3 linked regions of the Arabidopsis thaliana genome follow. The protein of the gene in region 2 interacts with the protein of the main gene of each other region in a pairwise test. Each region holds a gene or a part of one and is shown on either strand. Other genes may lie near its edges.

The links. Proteins that work in one complex are often made in the same cells at the same time.
Region 1: the proteins of NAC001 (region 2) and AT1G12390 interact in a two-hybrid assay, tested with the Arabidopsis thaliana proteins (one large-scale study listed by BioGRID).
Region 3: the proteins of NAC001 (region 2) and AT2G32380 interact in a two-hybrid assay, tested with the Arabidopsis thaliana proteins (one large-scale study listed by BioGRID).

The regions. Positions count from the first base shown.
Region 1 is NC_003070.9:4,216,077-4,222,559, reverse strand, and holds AT1G12390 (Cornichon family protein), read right to left. Parts: upstream 2,517-6,483; 5' UTR 2,214-2,516; coding exon 2,142-2,213; intron 1,593-2,141; coding exon 1,411-1,592; intron 1,332-1,410; coding exon 1,209-1,331; intron 1,116-1,208; coding exon 1,079-1,115; 3' UTR 757-1,078; downstream 1-756. Other genes in the region: AT1G12400 (Nucleotide excision repair, TFIIH, subunit TTDA), read right to left, coding at 1-190; AT1G12380 (uncharacterized protein), read left to right, coding at 5,680-6,483.
Region 2 is NC_003070.9:230-8,521, forward strand, and holds NAC001 (NAC domain containing protein 1), read left to right. Parts: upstream 1-3,401; 5' UTR 3,402-3,530; coding exon 3,531-3,684; intron 3,685-3,766; coding exon 3,767-4,047; intron 4,048-4,256; coding exon 4,257-4,376; intron 4,377-4,476; coding exon 4,477-4,866; intron 4,867-4,944; coding exon 4,945-5,097; intron 5,098-5,209; coding exon 5,210-5,401; 3' UTR 5,402-5,670; downstream 5,671-8,292. Other genes in the region: ARV1 family protein, read right to left, coding at 6,686-6,840, 6,928-7,003, 7,155-7,221, 7,335-7,420, 7,533-7,606, 7,713-7,758, 8,007-8,096, 8,188-8,235.
Region 3 is NC_003071.7:13,745,810-13,752,062, forward strand, and holds AT2G32380 (Transmembrane protein 97, Putative), read right to left. Parts: upstream 2,002-6,253; 5' UTR 1,922-2,001; coding exon 1,598-1,921; intron 1,166-1,597; coding exon 983-1,165; 3' UTR 757-982; downstream 1-756. Other genes in the region: HDG3 (homeodomain GLABROUS 3), read left to right, coding at 1-31; GLR3.5 (glutamate receptor 3.5), read right to left, coding at 2,659-3,135, 3,212-3,621, 3,742-3,773, 3,883-4,160, 4,243-5,594, 5,802-6,114.

The DNA of each region.
Region 1 (6,483 bases), 4.2 Mb from region 2:
AAATGGCGCTGCGGATCATCTGCTCTACATGTGGTTGCACGAACAAGTGAGTACTATCAAGTACATGAATTATGAATTTCTGAGACGGAGGCATCGAATTGTTCATGTTCACTATGAATTGTGTCATCGGAATATCGCTGCAAACAAACAAAAGATACAAAGAAACAATGAATGATTCAATTGTGTTCATCAAGATTTGCTTAGGAATCGTAACAACGGTAAGAAGTACCAAGAGACGAACACTCCTTTGATTGCATTAACCATAAGTAAAACCTGTAATACAAAACACGAATAATCTGAGCTCAATTTTCATCAAAAGATGACCCAAGAACATCCTCGATAACTCAGAACATAGATGAATGAAAGATTAATCCTTTGTTTCAATTCAAGGACCCCAAATTACTAGATGCAACGATTACATAACTGGGGTTTCGCTACCTAAACACCACAACATAAACTCGATTCCCAAATCTTAAGACTTTAACGATTACAGACCAAATAGAAATAGGATGAAACCAGATCAATTTGGTCTAGAGATCAACCACACACCTGTGAAACCACACGAAGAAGATTGGAGGAATCAATCAAGAGGGTAAGCGATGTTTGAGGCAGAGAAAGAAATCACCTTGATAACGACGATTATTGTCACAGTAAAGGAGAGAAGGATTAGCTTTATAAGATAACCTAATTACAAAACTGAAACAGAAGGTTCGGATCATCTTTTAAGTTATCGTTTATTACATCACTCAAAAGGGTTTCTCACTTTTAAAAGTCAAAGTTCACATGAATTAACTTTTTTTCTTCTTATATTTGAAATTATTCAGTTTCATTGTTACTGTAACCAGTAGTTTACGAGCTTGATTGCTTGTACAAATAATGATCAAGACATAAAAAAAACAGTTAATCTGAACATGTTTCTAAGAAAGAAATAAATACACAAATCTTCCTGCCACTAATCTTACAAACATCACAAAGCAAACACTTTTCCTTGCTTTTTTTCATGTCCACAAGCATGTCGCTGTATCTTTAAGCGTAGTGTCAATAAACCGAAGAAGATGGACCATGTCTTCTTCATTAGTCAGTCCTCGTAATCATCCAGCGCCGAATAAATCATCCTACGAAAAAAAGTTGCAAACAGAAAGTGTTTTAGCTCTCTTGATCTACTTATGGTTAAGCAATAATGGGATTCGAAATATCTTTCTCGTTACCAGAAGATAGTGAGAAAGAGGTTAAGGACAATGTAAGCAAGCTTGAACAGCCGTTTCTTCTTTTCCCAGTTAAGCAAATTGAAGATCTCGGTGACATCTACTAAGTGTTGTCGCTTCGAGTAACTGAACAACGGAGAAACCGAAAGGATATCAATACCACAACATTTGATTGGAGCAAAAGATTGAGATTAGTTGGACTTACAGATGGAAGTTGTAGTATAGATAGGGGAGACATAAGAGTGTCATGAACCAGTGTCCTGTTAGGAGGTAGAATACGCATAGAACTCCTTGAACAATGAACTCCGGTAAAACCACTGAGTTTATTCTCGACGCAGAGTCGTAAGGGTTGATGTAATCAAACTCGAGATCCGCTAAGCAAACAAGCTGCAAATGAAAGAATTCAAATTCAGAAAAGAGAAGTTAGCTTCCTAGAAAATGTCTTCCCAAGCTGTTTATACATGGAAGATTCCGTTTGCTAGCTTATCAGTCTCAGTGACTCCTCTCATTAGAGTCTACACAAACAAAACTAAAGGGTTCACTTCATTATGCCGAAATGGAGCTCATTTATAAAAGAACAACCTGTGCTTAAGGAGGTAAATCCTCAGACCTGACATGAACATCCAACATAAGAACTAACTATGAACCTATAAAAGTGTTTTGAGAAGCCAATACGCACTATATATGTTCCTGAATTTACTCCTTTGATGATAACATTCCCAAAAATTACACCTTTACTTCTTCCAAACATGTGACAAGAACATAAAACCCTAATTCTAGCTAAATCACAGACTACCCAGAAACAAAAAAAAGGCTCCAAATGAATCAAAATGGACAAATATGGTATCATTATAACCGTAAGCGAAAAAATTGGCAAATTCCGATAGAAAAGTTAAGAACTTTGGGTTTATTTATCCTAGAAATTGGGAATCGCACCTGATAGACGATGATTCCGACAAGAGCGATGAGGAAGAAGAAGGAAATAAGCCATGTCCAGATATCTCCCATCTTCCTCCTTTTGGTTCCGACAATTTCCTCGGATCTATCCTCGTTGTTTCTTGGTCTTCTCTCTCTCTCTCTCTCCTCCCAATAATGTTCGATGAGGAACAGAGAGAAAGTTAGGACAACGACTTAGTGGTCGGCTAGTTTTGACAGTTGAGCTCGAGATTCTGATCGGAAACAAAGAAGCCTAGAGAAGGCAGGCACGAGACTCAGCTTCCGGTTCAGTTTCCGGTTAAAATCGAATTCGTTATTTCCCGAAGTACGTACCATTTACGCCGGTTTAATATTTCAGTATTATGAATCTATGATTTATAAGCCATTGGGCCTCTATAGATTTAGCCCAATTAAATAGTAAACAGTTTGGGTTTGGGCACGAGAGCCGTGTAATTTTTGTTGAGTCGTGTATAATTTTTTTTAGGTCATTGTCTTATTGTATAGTTTTAAGGAAATCAAAAATGAAAAATTAAAAACAAAAATGGTACCAGAAACCATTCAATCATGTGATTGAGAAAAGCCAGCTGTTTTCTAGTACGAAGAAAAACAAGCTTCATCTTTTCCATGTATTTTTCTTTCTTTCTTTTCTCAAGAACGGTGAATCCATAACTTATAATTGCAAGGATTAAGAGATTGAGATTATGAAGGATAGCATTTTGGAATTGTAATATGGTTTAGCTTAGTCGGATTTTCCTCACTAATTATAGATTCTGGCCTCTCTAGTGTGGTTCAATTAAGTTGTAAAATAAAGAAGCTATGTTAGTAACTAAATCCATCCAAGTTCAATAATCAAATAATTACTATCGCTATCAATGTAAAAGGTGGCATTATTTTTATTTCAACTATTATTATTTCTTACATGGTATATATATATTTATTTCGGGTATAACACGATATAGTGGAGTGGTTGGGAAAAGAAGTTCTCGTACAAGATTGTAAATCAAGCAATTTACGTTTGATACAGTAATAATCAATATCAGTATTTTTTTAACTGAAAGGATTGGCTCTTCGTTTTCACTAACTGGAAAATGAAGATTCAAATTTATAACATACCTATTTTCTGTCAACAGTTACTTATTTTTAGTTAATATATGCATTTAGGGACCAATCTTGAAATCTCATTCCACGTATGAAAAGTATCATGCAAAAAAGTATATATCAATTCTAAACATTTTATTTTCAAATTTCATTCACAAAATCAGCATTATTTTATTTAAGTGGAGATTAACGTAAGAAGTTACTTTGATATATTGTTACATTGTTTACATTGTAGACACCTTAAGTTAATAAAACGTATGACAAAGTGATGTTATTAATAGTTCTCATCACTATATTGCAAACGTCGTTTATCAAAAAATAAAATTAGAGGGCATAATCCATGGTTTTTGGGTGGTTGGTATGTAACAGACAAGATCATTCTTATAGATAGTACTATCCATCTTTTTAAGATAGGACTGCTCTAAATTATGTGGTAAGAAATTAATTTTCTGCCTTTTTATTATATAGATACAGTTATGGGTGGATTTTGTATATTAGACTTTAGAATTCATTGATCATTCATACATATAAGCATGCATACATGATACTTCTACATTAGAAGGTGGGAGACAGTTGTGACATGGATTTTATGACATTAGATATTGACCAATTAAAACTTGACTCCTACTAACCTCCACTTATAACTTTAATTATACGTTTTACTAAGAGAGATTTACAAGTTCAAGTTCAAGACACTTTTTGCATTGGAATAAGAGTAGAAAATCAAGGGTAAAATATAGAAAGACTTATGTGTGTGTGTGTGTATGTGTGTGTGTGACACATAAGAAATAGTCTTTGTTGTGGTTAATTAGCTGGAATAGTTGATCAAGAAAATGTGTTTTTAATATTCATTAGTATGAGTTTGTTCGCATTGATATGGTTTTATAGGTTGTATTAAATTATTCATAGATCAACGACATACTAAAGTAAAATTCTAAGTTTTTGGCTATGAGTGAAAAGCATGTGTACTTTGTTGGACTGCTACAGATTGGTTGGTATTTAGCTAAATGTGTCCATTGGCCAGTAATTTTATTTAGGTAAATATTGGTCCTCAGTCATAATTTTATTTAGTGTGTGTTCATGTTTTTTTGGGTTTTTACTTTTAACTAAAAAGAGGTAGAAGTTGTGAAGAGTACAAAGGATGTTGTTATTCATGAATCATGACTTCAAACTTCTAACGACGGCCAAGACACACATGATTCATGAACATTCATACAAAGCAAATGAAAGCAAAATTGCTATTGAGATTAACAAAAAGTAAAAAAATGGTTGGAATTAGTAGGAACCAAAAGTGTCGGTAAAAAAATGGAAGTTGTAAAAGGTTGCAGTCAAAAATAAACAACTTTCAACACAAACCAAAAAAAAATATTTACAAAGAAATGTACTTTATGAGTCAACAGAAAATGGTCAACACAACACAGTCTCTGCGTTAATGTCTTTCATTGTCTATCTAGAAACAAAAATTAAATTCTCACTCTACCCTTTTATGCCCAAATTCTGAACTCATCCCACGTAGACAATAGGACACAAATGGAAATCCCACTCACCCATTTTTTTCATTTTTGTAATCAAATCCAAAAAAAATGTTCAAAAAGTGTCTTCAACGTTCACATAATCTCTAACTAAATTCACAATAAGGATTCTATAAACCGAATTAATCATTTAGATTTTTTTAAAAACTCAGCCTATGTTAATAATTCTTTTTTTACCAAAACTTAGAGCCTTCAAAATTCTCAAGATCCCAATTTTGTTTTTTTATCCGTTCAACTGAAGTTACGAAAGTACATTACCATTGGTGGTTGAAACTGTATAGCACAAGAAAAACATTTATAAAGATTAAGAAGAGAAAAAATCTAAATAAAATGCATTAAATTAAGGTCCCAAATAGTTCCAATTTTTTTTTCTTTTAAATATTAAAGTAGGAGACAAGAAAAGAGATTTTCGAAAGAAAAAAAGAAACAAAAGTTGAAAGAAAAAAAACACACATAACAAAAACAATCCCCCAAAACCAACTTAAAGCGCGTGACTAAAACGCTCCAATGATGAGAAAGCGAGATAGACTACGAGCCAATGTAACGTTTGTGTTCTCGTACGACGTGGGACTCTCTTCTTTCACCTCCATGCGCGTGTGCTTCAACCTCCTCTGTAACTCTCTCTCTTTCTTCCATATTTCTCTCCTCTTCTTCTCCGCTCTGTCTCTTTCTTCGAAAAAACCATTCACAGTCAAGAACAAGAGCTCACTAGAAAGAAAAAAAACTAAAGAAGTGAGTAAAAATTTCATTTCTTCTGATCGCCGGAAAATGGCAGCGACGTTAAAGATCGTCGTCTTCCGGCGAAATCCTACTGCTGAAGAATGTCACACGTAAAATCCAACTCTCGCTTAAAACCCTTTTAGCAAGAGCCTCGAAATTTCCGATTTAGAAACTTTTTTTCTTTCTTGATGGCGACGACTAACGCTCACACGGCGACTCAACAGACACCACCACCACCACCTCCTCCTCCTCCAGCTCCTGCTCCTCCGGCGATGGATGGGTTAACAACAGACGAGCTAACAGCAAAAGCATTAAACAAGAGATACGAAGGTTTAATGACGGTGAGAACAAAAGCAGTGAAAGGTAAAGGCGCGTGGTATTGGACTCATCTTGAACCAATCCTCGTACGCAACACCGACACTGGTCTCCCTAAAGCCGTGAAGCTTCGTTGTTCTTTATGCGACGCCGTTTTCTCCGCCTCTAATCCTTCACGCACTGCCTCTGAGCATCTCAAACGCGGCACGTGTCCTAATTTCAACTCTGTTACTCCCATTTCCACCATCACTCCTTCTCCTACCTCTTCCTCTTCCTCTCCTCAAACTCATCACCGGAAACGTAACTCCTCCGGCGCTGTCACCACCGCGATTCCTTCTCGGCTTAACCCTCCTCCCATCGGAGGCTCTTATCACGTCACGCCGATAACCGTTGTTGATCCTTCTAGATTCTGCGGCGGAGAGTTGCATTATTCAACTCCTCCGCCGCCGCAGCATTTGATGCTCTCCGGTGGAAAAGATGACTTGGGTCCTTTAGCTATGCTTGAAGACAGTGTGAAGAAGCTTAAGAGTCCTAAACCGTCGCAGACTCAGTCTCTTACCAGATCGCAGATAGAGTCAGCTTTAGATTCTCTCTCTGATTGGGTCTTCGAGTCCTGCGGCTCTGTTTCTCTCTCGGGTCTTGAGCATCCAAAGTTTCGAGCTTTTTTAACACAAGTT
Region 2 (8,292 bases):
CTATTTCTTGTGGTTTTCTTTCCTTCACTTAGCTATGGATGGTTTATCTTCATTTGTTATATTGGATACAAGCTTTGCTACGATCTACATTTGGGAATGTGAGTCTCTTATTGTAACCTTAGGGTTGGTTTATCTCAAGAATCTTATTAATTGTTTGGACTGTTTATGTTTGGACATTTATTGTCATTCTTACTCCTTTGTGGAAATGTTTGTTCTATCAATTTATCTTTTGTGGGAAAATTATTTAGTTGTAGGGATGAAGTCTTTCTTCGTTGTTGTTACGCTTGTCATCTCATCTCTCAATGATATGGGATGGTCCTTTAGCATTTATTCTGAAGTTCTTCTGCTTGATGATTTTATCCTTAGCCAAAAGGATTGGTGGTTTGAAGACACATCATATCAAAAAAGCTATCGCCTCGACGATGCTCTATTTCTATCCTTGTAGCACACATTTTGGCACTCAAAAAAGTATTTTTAGATGTTTGTTTTGCTTCTTTGAAGTAGTTTCTCTTTGCAAAATTCCTCTTTTTTTAGAGTGATTTGGATGATTCAAGACTTCTCGGTACTGCAAAGTTCTTCCGCCTGATTAATTATCCATTTTACCTTTGTCGTAGATATTAGGTAATCTGTAAGTCAACTCATATACAACTCATAATTTAAAATAAAATTATGATCGACACACGTTTACACATAAAATCTGTAAATCAACTCATATACCCGTTATTCCCACAATCATATGCTTTCTAAAAGCAAAAGTATATGTCAACAATTGGTTATAAATTATTAGAAGTTTTCCACTTATGACTTAAGAACTTGTGAAGCAGAAAGTGGCAACACCCCCCACCTCCCCCCCCCCCCCCCACCCCCCAAATTGAGAAGTCAATTTTATATAATTTAATCAAATAAATAAGTTTATGGTTAAGAGTTTTTTACTCTCTTTATTTTTCTTTTTCTTTTTGAGACATACTGAAAAAAGTTGTAATTATTAATGATAGTTCTGTGATTCCTCCATGAATCACATCTGCTTGATTTTTCTTTCATAAATTTATAAGTAATACATTCTTATAAAATGGTCAGAGAAACACCAAAGATCCCGAGATTTCTTCTCACTTACTTTTTTTCTATCTATCTAGATTATATAAATGAGATGTTGAATTAGAGGAACCTTTGATTCAATGATCATAGAAAAATTAGGTAAAGAGTCAGTGTCGTTATGTTATGGAAGATGTGAATGAAGTTTGACTTCTCATTGTATATGAGTAAAATCTTTTCTTACAAGGGAAGTCCCCAATTGGTCAACATGTGAAAGCACGTGTCATGTTCTTACTTTTGTTTGGGTAATCTTCTAATTACTGTATATGGAAGATGTGAATGAAGTTTTGGTCCTGAATGTGGCCAAGGTTCCGTCATTTGGAGATACGAAATCAAATCTCCTTTAAGATTTTGTTTTTATAATGTGTTCTTCCATCCACATCTATCTCCATATGATATGGACCATATCATACATCATCATTTGTCCAAATGCATGAATGAATTTGGAAATAGGTACGAGAATGCCAACAATGACAAGAAGGGATCAAAGACAGTTTTTAAAACAATATTTTACAGGGTTTTAATCTAATTCTAAGTTTTGGTCACTCACTTTGTTAAAAGAATAATTCAGTGTCTGGACACTAAAATCTTCCAAAAACCCCATATACATATATGCTATTTCGATACTTATATTTATTTACTCAGCATAAAAAATATTAACCATGTATTCATAGTAAAATGTTTCATGTGATATCAAACCAGCGACAACAAAAGTATTATTCCCCTCATTATGTTTGACTCCTATTATATTTTTATTTTAATTTTTTTCACTATCATCTTTCTTGCAATGAAAGTCCCATATATTGGTCAACATTTCAAACCACTTGTTCTCTTTTATGTTTTGGTAAGAGCTATCTTCTAAATTTATAATACGCATAAATTCAAAAGTAAAAGAAAATTTTGGTCATGAATGTTGTTTAAGTCATTTGGAGATACGAAATCAAATCTCCTTGTAGATTTTGTTTTTAGAATGTCGTTCCTTTTTCATCATCTTAGCTATATCTACAGCTATATATCCTATCTTTAAACCTATATTATTTTTTCCTCTCTTCACCAAAGCCATGTTTTTTAGTTGTGGCGAAAAATAAGAAATCCATACATCAACATATCGCTTTCGTTACCTTAAATTTTGGCTTGTTATGAAGGCATGTCATAACGTTTCTAGTCACAACTCACAAGCATACCAACGACCATGATAAATCCAAAAAGTAGAAACAATCTATTATCTAAACCCCCAAAAGACAAAAGAAAAAAGTAGAAAGAAAAGGTAGGCAGAGATATAATGCTGGTTTTATTTGTTTGTTAAAAGATATTGCTATTTCTGCCAATATTAAAACTTCACTTAGGAAGACTTGAACCTACCACACGTTAGTGACTAATGAGAGCCACTAGATAATTGCATGCATCCCACACTAGTACTAATTTTCTAGGGATATTAGAGTTTTCTAATCACCTACTTCCTACTATGTGTATGTTATCTACTGGCGTGGATGCTTTTAAAGATGTTACGTTATTATTTTGTTCGGTTTGGAAAACGGCTCAATCGTTATGAGTTCGTAAGACACATACATTGTTCCATGATAAAATGCAACCCCACGAACCATTTGCGACAAGCAAAACAACATGGTCAAAATTAAAAGCTAACAATTAGCCAGCGATTCAAAAAGTCAACCTTCTAGATGGATTTAACAACATATCGATAGGATTCAAGATTAAAAATAAGCACACTCTTATTAATGTTAAAAAACGAATGAGATGAAAATATTTGGCGTGTTCACACACATAATCTAGAAGACAGATTCGAGTTGCTCTCCTTTGTTTTGCTTTGGGAGGGACCCATTATTACCGCCCAGCAGCTTCCCAGCCTTCCTTTATAAGGCTTAATTTATATTTATTTAAATTTTATATGTTCTTCTATTATAATACTAAAAGGGGAATACAAATTTCTACAGAGGATGATATTCAATCCACGGTTCACCCAAACCGATTTTATAAAATTTATTATTAAATCTTTTTTAATTGTTAAATTGGTTTAAATCTGAACTCTGTTTACTTACATTGATTAAAATTCTAAACCATCATAAGTAAAAAATAATATGATTAAGACTAATAAATCTTAATAGTTAATACTACTCGGTTTACTACATGAAATTTCATACCATCAATTGTTTTAATAATCTTTAAAATTGTTAGGACCGGTAAAACCATACCAATTAAACCGGAGATCCATATTAATTTAATTAAGAAAATAAAAATAAAAGGAATAAATTGTCTTATTTAAACGCTGACTTCACTGTCTTCCTCCCTCCAAATTATTAGATATACCAAACCAGAGAAAACAAATACATAATCGGAGAAATACAGATTACAGAGAGCGAGAGAGATCGACGGCGAAGCTCTTTACCCGGAAACCATTGAAATCGGACGGTTTAGTGAAAATGGAGGATCAAGTTGGGTTTGGGTTCCGTCCGAACGACGAGGAGCTCGTTGGTCACTATCTCCGTAACAAAATCGAAGGAAACACTAGCCGCGACGTTGAAGTAGCCATCAGCGAGGTCAACATCTGTAGCTACGATCCTTGGAACTTGCGCTGTAAGTTCCGAATTTTCTGAATTTCATTTGCAAGTAATCGATTTAGGTTTTTGATTTTAGGGTTTTTTTTTGTTTTGAACAGTCCAGTCAAAGTACAAATCGAGAGATGCTATGTGGTACTTCTTCTCTCGTAGAGAAAACAACAAAGGGAATCGACAGAGCAGGACAACGGTTTCTGGTAAATGGAAGCTTACCGGAGAATCTGTTGAGGTCAAGGACCAGTGGGGATTTTGTAGTGAGGGCTTTCGTGGTAAGATTGGTCATAAAAGGGTTTTGGTGTTCCTCGATGGAAGATACCCTGACAAAACCAAATCTGATTGGGTTATCCACGAGTTCCACTACGACCTCTTACCAGAACATCAGGTTTTCTTCTATTCATATATATATATATATATATATGTGGATATATATATATGTGGTTTCTGCTGATTCATAGTTAGAATTTGAGTTATGCAAATTAGAAACTATGTAATGTAACTCTATTTAGGTTCAGCAGCTATTTTAGGCTTAGCTTACTCTCACCAATGTTTTATACTGATGAACTTATGTGCTTACCTCCGGAAATTTTACAGAGGACATATGTCATCTGCAGACTTGAGTACAAGGGTGATGATGCGGACATTCTATCTGCTTATGCAATAGATCCCACTCCCGCTTTTGTCCCCAATATGACTAGTAGTGCAGGTTCTGTGGTGAGTCTTTCTCCATATACACTTAGCTTTGAGTAGGCAGATCAAAAAAGAGCTTGTGTCTACTGATTTGATGTTTTCCTAAACTGTTGATTCGTTTCAGGTCAACCAATCACGTCAACGAAATTCAGGATCTTACAACACTTACTCTGAGTATGATTCAGCAAATCATGGCCAGCAGTTTAATGAAAACTCTAACATTATGCAGCAGCAACCACTTCAAGGATCATTCAACCCTCTCCTTGAGTATGATTTTGCAAATCACGGCGGTCAGTGGCTGAGTGACTATATCGACCTGCAACAGCAAGTTCCTTACTTGGCACCTTATGAAAATGAGTCGGAGATGATTTGGAAGCATGTGATTGAAGAAAATTTTGAGTTTTTGGTAGATGAAAGGACATCTATGCAACAGCATTACAGTGATCACCGGCCCAAAAAACCTGTGTCTGGGGTTTTGCCTGATGATAGCAGTGATACTGAAACTGGATCAATGGTAAGCTTTTTTTACTCATATATAATCACAACCTATATCGCTTCTATATCTCACACGCTGAATTTTGGCTTTTAACAGATTTTCGAAGACACTTCGAGCTCCACTGATAGTGTTGGTAGTTCAGATGAACCGGGCCATACTCGTATAGATGATATTCCATCATTGAACATTATTGAGCCTTTGCACAATTATAAGGCACAAGAGCAACCAAAGCAGCAGAGCAAAGAAAAGGTTTAACACTCTCACTGAGAAACATGACTTTGATACGAAATCTGAATCAACATTTCATCAAAAAGATTTAGTCAAATGACCTCTAAATTATGAGCTATGGGTCTGCTTTCAGGTGATAAGTTCGCAGAAAAGCGAATGCGAGTGGAAAATGGCTGAAGACTCGATCAAGATACCTCCATCCACCAACACGGTGAAGCAGAGCTGGATTGTTTTGGAGAATGCACAGTGGAACTATCTCAAGAACATGATCATTGGTGTCTTGTTGTTCATCTCCGTCATTAGTTGGATCATTCTTGTTGGTTAAGAGGTCAAATCGGATTCTTGCTCAAAATTTGTATTTCTTAGAATGTGTGTTTTTTTTTGTTTTTTTTTCTTTGCTCTGTTTTCTCGCTCCGGAAAAGTTTGAAGTTATATTTTATTAGTATGTAAAGAAGAGAAAAAGGGGGAAAGAAGAGAGAAGAAAAATGCAGAAAATCATATATATGAATTGGAAAAAAGTATATGTAATAATAATTAGTGCATCGTTTTGTGGTGTAGTTTATATAAATAAAGTGATATATAGTCTTGTATAAGAAAGGGATTTTACATGAGACCCAAATATGAGTAAAGGGTGTTGGCTCAAAGATTCATTTAGCAACCAAAGTTGCATTTGCAAGGAAATGAAAAGGTGTTAACAATGTCACTGCGTAACATGACTTCGATACAAAATCTCAAACAATACATCTTCAACTGTGGATTATGATGGACTTGGGGTTGCAGGTGATATGTCTATAGAAAAACGGGTGGGAATGGAAAATGGCTGAAGAAGAAAGCTCCAACTAAGCATCATAACTGGATTGTTTTAGAGGAGATGAGTCAAAGGAATTCACAGTGGAACTATCTCAAGAACATGATCATTGGCTTCTTATTGTTCATCTCCATCATTGGCTGGATCATTCTGGTTCAAGAGGTCAAATTATATATACATAACGGATCTAAGAAGTATAGTGTAGTCAATTAAAACAAAACGAGACTTGAAAATAAGCATAAGTATTATTAAGTTAACCCAATATTCGTTTCAATGCTTTAGTTATCATCAGAATTCTCAACATTTTCAGATATTTAACTTGCCTTTGGTTGCTTTCTCGCCATGGTAGTAGCATTCTCCGGATAAGAATCAAGGGGAGCCTCAACTTCGGCTTCAACCGTCTCCTCGTCTTTCCTATGACATTCACTTGGTGTTGCAACAATGTGTTGATGCCCCACATTCATAGGAGAGTCCCACATATCTCCAACATTCATAGGAGGGTTCCACATATGCCCACCATTCCAAGGAGGGTACCACCACATATGCCCAGCATTCCAAGAAAGATGGAGCGACGATATCGTGAGGAACAAGGTTTTTGTAGGGCAAATAATTGTAGGTGGTTGAGTTATATCCGCCCGCACAGAGTAACAGACCAACAATTAACTTTTGATATTTTAGTAAGGTCTAATTCAATTTTTGGTGGCGATAATATTTGGCTTAGTCATAAAATACAGTATGGTATAATAATGTAAAGGTTTCTCTTATCTTCAAACCAAAAGACTATACTGGAAGCTGATGGGATCATACGATTCTGAAAAAATAAGACATATATTGCAACAGAGATCCAATTTGTATCAAAAATATTGTCGGCTCAAAAATCTGACCCACCAAGAATCTAATCAAGTGCGCGATTAAGCATACGGCTATGCATCTGGTCATTGTTGATTCAGTCATCACTGGTTTAAAGACAAACTTGCATTGTGAGATTCCAAAATAACAACAACAAAAAACAATTTGCATTGAGAACATTTTGAAGGTCTGACCTTTAAGAGCCATGGAGTTTGATGTTAAGAGAAGTATATCGACAAAAAAAATCACTGACATTGGGAATTCCCATACCTGTAATAACAAAGATTCTCTATTTTTGAGCAAAGAGACATAACACCATGTTTAATCAATACAAGAAACTTTAGTGCATGATTTATGGAATGCTTAAGAAGTTTGGAACTTCAATATTAGGAATTAAGTGAGAGGTAAAGCTACAACATACCAACATCGCAAGCAGAAATATCTTGAAGTAACTAGAGATGAATATCCCCAACATAATCTCTCTTCTTCTGCAAAGTTTTTAAAAAAAATTATACATAAACAATCTTCAGGTGACAGAAGTCTGAGATCTTTGATGAAAAACTCATAATAAGAACTAAGAAGAAGAAGAATCAGTAATCACCTGGAAACTTCATTTAGCAAACCCTTAGTCGCAATGGCAAAAGAGATGATAAATGCAGCGTTTGCAGATAAGACACCAATCAGAACCTGTTTCAAATGCGAAATTATTACCCTTTCTAAACAATCTCAATGACTTAAATCATTTAAACCTTAAAGGAAAAAAAATCTAATTAAGTCCATTAAAAAGAAACGATCTAACCTTTATAGATAGAAGAACAGGGCTATCAGAAAAGCTCGATTCTTCATCACTTTTTCTCAGTAGCAAGCTTCTATCTATGATGAGTTCAGGGCTTTTCAAATAAGTTTGCCGATGAATCTCACCAACTACACATCTGCTAGCTACACTTTGATAGTAAAAGATTATAAAACAAAAGGATACAACAGTCTAGAAGAAGATAGGCGAAGACCAACTTCCACAACAGATGCTGCACACACACACACAAAAAAAAAAAAAGAACCCAACAATTCTTATTGGATCAGAGACTACTCAATATCCCCAAACTTGGAAATTAGTTTGTTGCTTGAGGTCTAAGATACTTCTATATATGGAAAAAGATTTTCAAAGCCAGATATTTCCACAAGTTTGTAATATCAATTCAAGATAAGAGAGCTAGAATCAGACAGGAACTAGCAATGCTTGAAATCAAGAACTTGAATTGAAATAGTTTTTTACCTGAATATTGACAGTTGCTGGATTAATTGCATTGTAGAGGACGTGTCTATATACCTTTGGTCTGTGAAGGATTAAATCGATGAAAATAATCTGCCAAAGAAAACAATTAAAGAACCAAAAACCAAAATTGGAAAGAAATAGGGAAACACCCAAAAAGGGAAAGAAAGTGATTAAAACAGACCATGCGTTCACACTCGATGTACTCATCTGCTACTTCCTTGCAATTTCCCTAAATATAACAATATGATCAAAGATGGAAACTTTGAAGAAATTTAATAGAGAATCT
Region 3 (6,253 bases), on a different chromosome or scaffold from region 2:
CAAAGATTTGTTTCCTTGTCAGACTGCTTGAACCACCCCCATTTCGGTAATCTATTGGAGAGCTTCAAAAGGGGAGGAGTCAAGAACGAACCTCAAGGAGATTGGTTTTTTACGAGGTTCGGGATTTGACTAGCCCTGGAATAAACCCATTCAAGATGGAAAAAACAACTATCTTTTCCTTTCATTTGAGTCTTTTGTTTCCTTGTCATTGTTTGGACTTGGAACCTTTTGCTATTTCAGTTGAGTCTTTGGTTTCCTTGTCATTGTTGGACTTGGAACCTTTTGTTATTTCATTCGAGTCTTTGGTTTCCTTGTCATTGTTGGACTTGGAAACCTTTTGTTATTTCAGTTGAGTCTGTTTGTTTCCTTGTCATTGTTGGACATGGAACCTTTCGTTGTTTCAGTTGAGTCTGTTTGTTTCCTTGTCATTGTTGGACTTGGAAACCTTTATGAAGTTATTGAGTACTCTTTTTCTCTATTTGAGTTTCAAATTTGTTTTTTGTTTTCTTTCTATTGACTTTAGATCTTCTTCTAGAGTATGGATATTTCTTTTGTATTGTTTTTGTTGTCTATTTCTGTAGTTTGGTTTATCAAAACTTCACACCTTTTCTTCCCAAGACTCTCTGTTTTGCAAGAGAGCTTAAAGAGTTTTTGGCTGTTGCGCGTTGCCTATGGTTTTAGATTGACCAAACCCAACAAGACTAAGAAATCTGTGCTGAACATGTAGACCTTTTGGGAATGGGAATCACAACGTGTGATTTGTCAAGACCCAACAATGTAGACCTTTTGGTGAAGTGAACTGTAAAATATTTTCAGTTTAACTTCATTTAATTTCAAACAAGAACACAGATGACATGATATTGCTAAAAAAACAGGAAGAATACATCACAAAGGTTCAAAATTTTCTGTTTGAAAAGCCAAATCCACCTATAGCAGAAATTCTCAGAGTCAAAAGATACACTTGCTGATCATCAAGTGTACCTCAAGCACGCTTTCTCCTGGCCAAAATAGCAGGTCTCTTGCCAACAGCTCCACCACTTTTGTTGGATTGAGAAAGAAGACCACGAAGAAGAGCTAGAATACCAACACCCATGAATGGCACATACATCATCAACAATTTCTCAGATGCCTTCCCTGATCCTATCATCTCTCCCAGTATAGCAGCCTAATAAGTAATGAATACTCAATATCAGATTCTTCATCACAAGGCATATTAGCAATGAATGCGGAAAGATTCACATTGCAGAACAATAAGTATAAGTTCGATAACGTTACTAATTCTAATAACCATGAAACTAGTCATTCAACATAGTAGAAACTCAAAATCTCTCTCCCTCATCAACATACAATGTTGTGATTTTAGGGAACCAAATGAAATCTTGAATCAAGCATTATACAAATTTCACTAGTCTGCTCCTAGTTCATACTTTGTAATGGTCCAGTTTCACAGACTTTAACATTGATCACCAATAATCATTTCTCCTATAATCTTCATTAATCTCAGATTTCAGATCCATAAATCAACAAAATCTTACTCTAAATCAAACACGTTATATCCAAATTGATCAGAAACAGCGAGATTAAGATCTAAATGTACCATAGAAGTCACGACGGAAGCTCCGTACACCATTGAGGTGGTACCAAACCACGATTTCCCAGCGAGAATTGCGTAGACGTTGACGATTGAGAGCGGCCAAAGAAGCAAAAGCTCATGCCAGACGAGTCCGACTAGGAAATGCGGCTTCTCTTTGACTAGATAATCTCCAAATTCATCAATGTACCAGCGATTCAGATCGACGATAAACGCCGGGAAGATATCGCCGGGAAGACTCGTTTGACCGTCGATAAGCGGCGCAATTACCGCCATGAGAGCAAAGTATAAGAAGAGAACCGCATCGATCAACTTGCAAAATGCTCCCATTTTTTTTCTTCTTCTCCTTCTTCAATGGATTTTGTTTTTCTCTCTGCTTTAATCTGTCGTTGACCGCGGAAACGAAGAGCCGGCTACTTAATAATTGGCCAAATCTAAATTAAAGCGAACCGGTTTAAACGGCTACCATTTTTCCGGTTTGATTCAGTGGTAAATTCGAACACTACCGGGCCTTAGGCCCATAATCTTCCTCGGAGGATGTATATAGTATCCAGAAAAAATAGTCACCCGAAGGACTACACTAATTAAGAGAGCCCATGATCTGTTACAAAATCTTAAGTTCTAAACATTTGAATAAGTTTCACATCCTCTACATAGTCTAGAAAAATGTGAACTCTACGGTTCTAATAACTTTCGACTCTTGAATTTGCAGATGTTTTATTTTTTATTTTTCAGGGAGTCTAAAGACATGATCATTTCAAAATTCCTTATCTCTCACGCCTTGGAGGAATCATATTCGTAAACACACTTGCAAGTTACAACCTTGCATTGCCTTAAGCAAATTCTTTAGCAAGGTACATTTCTTAGTGTTACGTTTTAGATCTTTTAAAATGTTGAGACTACTTGGTATTGAAACCATGACTCAGTTCACTTGTTCGTCTTGCAAGATGGTAGGGAAATTGTTTTGCATTTTTATCTCTATCTATGTAATAAATCTATGTACCTTTCTAAGTGTAATGTTATATCTGCAGTCATTAAACAAATTGTGTAACTCGTTATTATATATCTCACTGTGGAGTTTCGTGATCTTTCGACTGCGAATTCTCAGCTGAACTTTGGCCATCTTTGAGTTTCTTACTGCTCTTCTCCTTAAGCATCTCCTTAATCTCTGCTTCTCTCTTATCAACAACTTTGATCAAATCCTTGAAACTCACTGCTCTCAAACTTTTCCCTCTAGAAGAACCAGCCTCCTCGCTCCTCGCCTGTACTTCATCACTCTCTTCTGGTCTTAACCGTTGGTATTGCCAGAAAACTTTCCAGCAGAAGAGTGTGAGTGCAATGAACCAAACGACGCCACATATTAGGAAGAGTCCCCAGAAACTCTGTACCGATATTTGATAGTTTTCTGTATCTGAAATCTGCATTGTACATTCGTGGTCGTAGGTAAGCCATTTCTTGCGGATTTTCTCGAGTTTTCCTTCTTCAGCCAGTTGCAGGATCGCTGTCGACATGTCCACAGCTAGAGGAGAGTCTCTCTGGAACGCCTGCAAGAATCGAGATCCATTAAGCAAAGTTTTAACAGAGACTGATCTTAAAAAATTGAAGTTGGTTTTCACATACAAATCCCCAGCCTGTCCGAGTGAATTCCTGTCCAACTGTTCGAAACTTGCAGTTGCTGTTTGACAAGAGAGCTTTAATGTAAGGAAGCTCGTCGACAATGGCTGCCACGCCACCGCCTCTGGGACCACGTTGAAGAGCAGAGAGATATTCTTCTTCGTCTTTAAGCGGAATGATTCTTGATGGAGCTATGTTAAGTTCATTGACCAGAAATTTCCACGCAAAGGTACCATCTTGGACTCCAATGGGTTCGTTGCTTGCTATTAAAGTGTCCATTCCTTCTATCCGAGATGTTAGCTGTTGAACGGTGAGGATTGAAGTGAGACTGGCTGTGTAGCTTGAGTTGATGATTAGAACCACAAATAACCATACGAGTAGCACAAACCTTCCCAACGTGCTCACCGTATTCTCCCCTGAAGATCAACAAAGGAAGAAGAATAAAACACCTTGCGACCTTGGTAACAAAAGAAAAGAACCGAGAGTTTCTTCTCTTTGATGTTTTCGTATGATCTTAAATGTAATTGTGTGCATACTGTGAGAGAAGAACATTGTTGAGAAGCTAAACCTGCAATATTGAAGACGAGAAAGGAAGGGGGTAAAGCAAAGCTTTAGCACTTGAGCTTAAACTAATACATATGAGTTTTGTGTCGATTCAATAATTGTATGGAACTAACCAGAAGACTGTAATGATTTGACGCCTAGGAGGTCCGCGGAATTCTTCGTTAAATCGATGTTCAAGAATCCAGATGACGGCTCCAACAAAGAGAAAAAGGGCACCGGTCACAGCCCACATCTCTATAGTGAATGGCTTCAAGAAGGACCAAGGACTAGACTTGGCCCCCTTCACTGGAGCTACCACCACAAGCCCTGATTCTATAAATGGCTGCGTGAAATCTACAAACTTGGTTCTGTTTGTAATGATGGTAACATCCCCAACAGCTACATCGAAAATCTAGAGACATAAATAGAACAAAACATAAGTATACTGTTTCGTGTAATTGATTGAGTAAAATAGAAGAAGAAGTAGGACTCACATTTGCAGCAACTTCACTTATGAGATTGTCATATGAAGGATTTTTCTTCCCGTCCCCATATAGTATATAAGTACGTGGAACGGGATATGGAAGCAATTGAATCGCAGCTTCAAAGATGTCGATGCAAAAGCCTTTAACACCAAGCGGGTTCTTGTCCTTAGAAGCATAGTTTTTGTAGCTTACACGGTTAGGCACCCCGATTTTCAGCGGCTTTCCATTTTCAGGGAAAACCCAACCCCGAGGTGGCTTTATTACTTCCCCTGGCCATATGATCTCATTAAGACGTTGGTCTTTTGCAGATGTGTTTGAAGGCTTAGAGTATAATGTCTCTGGAGGCGCGACTGAGAAACCTGTATGATTCGACCAGTATCCAACTCTCAGTGGACCTGTACTTTTTATGTTCAGAATGTCGTAGGCTGGATTAATCCGGTTTTTCTCTGAATTAAACTCGATTTGTCCAGTCAGACCTGTATAATTCATCTCAAGAATGACCTGCAAGAACCTCTCCCCTTCATTGAAAATGTGAAGTTTTGATAGCTTAATGCCGCTATCGTTGGTATTCCTCAGACTTGGATCATTAGAGAAAGTCACTGTATTGCCTTGGCTGAAGAAAACATCGAGAGCGCGAGCTACCAACCAAACAGAATCGTAAGCATACAGCGCGTAAGAATTGAAGCCATCATCACTTTTTAGACTCTCCTTGAATCTAAGGTTTTTCCATCTTCCTTTAAACTGTCTCTTGTTGTCACTCTCAGGTGTGTAATGACGAAATGCAACCACTCCTTGCAAGAGATCCAAAGCTCTGGGATCCAACGGTTCCATGGAATCCAAAGCTGTAAGAAGCCAATCAGTAGTGATCCAGACATAGCCACTTCCCATCATTCCAAGAGATTTGGCGACAGAGAATATGTTTAAACCCGAATCAGGATTCACATGAACAACAAAGATGCGAGATTCCATCAGATTAACAGAAGCCAATAAATCACTGATTGAGCTATTATCTGCACCAGGTGGAAATGCAGCCTTGTAAGAGATCTTGGCACGTTTCTTGGCTAAAGCATCACCTAATACAGATATTCCATTCCTACCATACTCATCATCCACAAAGATCGCAACAACTTCTCTCCATCGAAAATAGGATACAAAATCCGTGATTGCATTCATCTGGAAGTAATCATTCTGTGTGGTACGAAGGAAATAAGGGTATTGAAGCGAAGAAAGAGTCGGGTCCGTTGCTGCAAATGACAAGAAAGGTACATGAAGCTCATTAGCTACATGGGAGATTATGTGACCAATTCCTGAAGATTGTGGACCAATGGCTGCAACCACCTTGTTCTCCATTAGCTGCAAAGCTACACCATAAGAAAACATATCACCAATCTACTTCCTCATTCAGAAAAAGCAATCCATGCGCAAAACGAAGATTTTAACAAGAGGTTTATGAACAAGACAAGCTCTGCAATTTGAATAACCTCATTACTATTAAACCCCAGCTTCGTTGGGGCATTTTCACAAGCAACTTTTCAGACATAATTCAAATTGCAGTTTACGAAAAGTACCTCCCATGGTGCCAACAAATCCACTGCAATTAGTGTCCTGGAAGACAATATTAAGCTTGGTGCCCCTGAGGATACTCTGGTCAGCATTAATGTCTTCAATGGCCGCCACAAACGCAAGTTTGGCCGCTCTTCCAATGAAAGAATCATAAGTAAACAGAGCTCCAACGTTTACAGAGCTTGGCAGAGAAGAAGAAGAAGAGTTTCTTGAGAAACTTTCTCTACCAGCACCTTGTATTGGCAAAACCCACAAAGCAGAAATACATAGGAGCATAAATCCCATGGAAACATCTCTAATCATCACGAAAAATCCCATCTTTTAATCGAAAAGGAGTGATTTTTACGGGCTCATTATATACCCACTTGATGATTCGGAGTTAGAAAAAAATCTGATCGAACAGGCATTAACGACCATTGATTTTAACATCAACATCAACTAGAAAAAGATGGGTCAG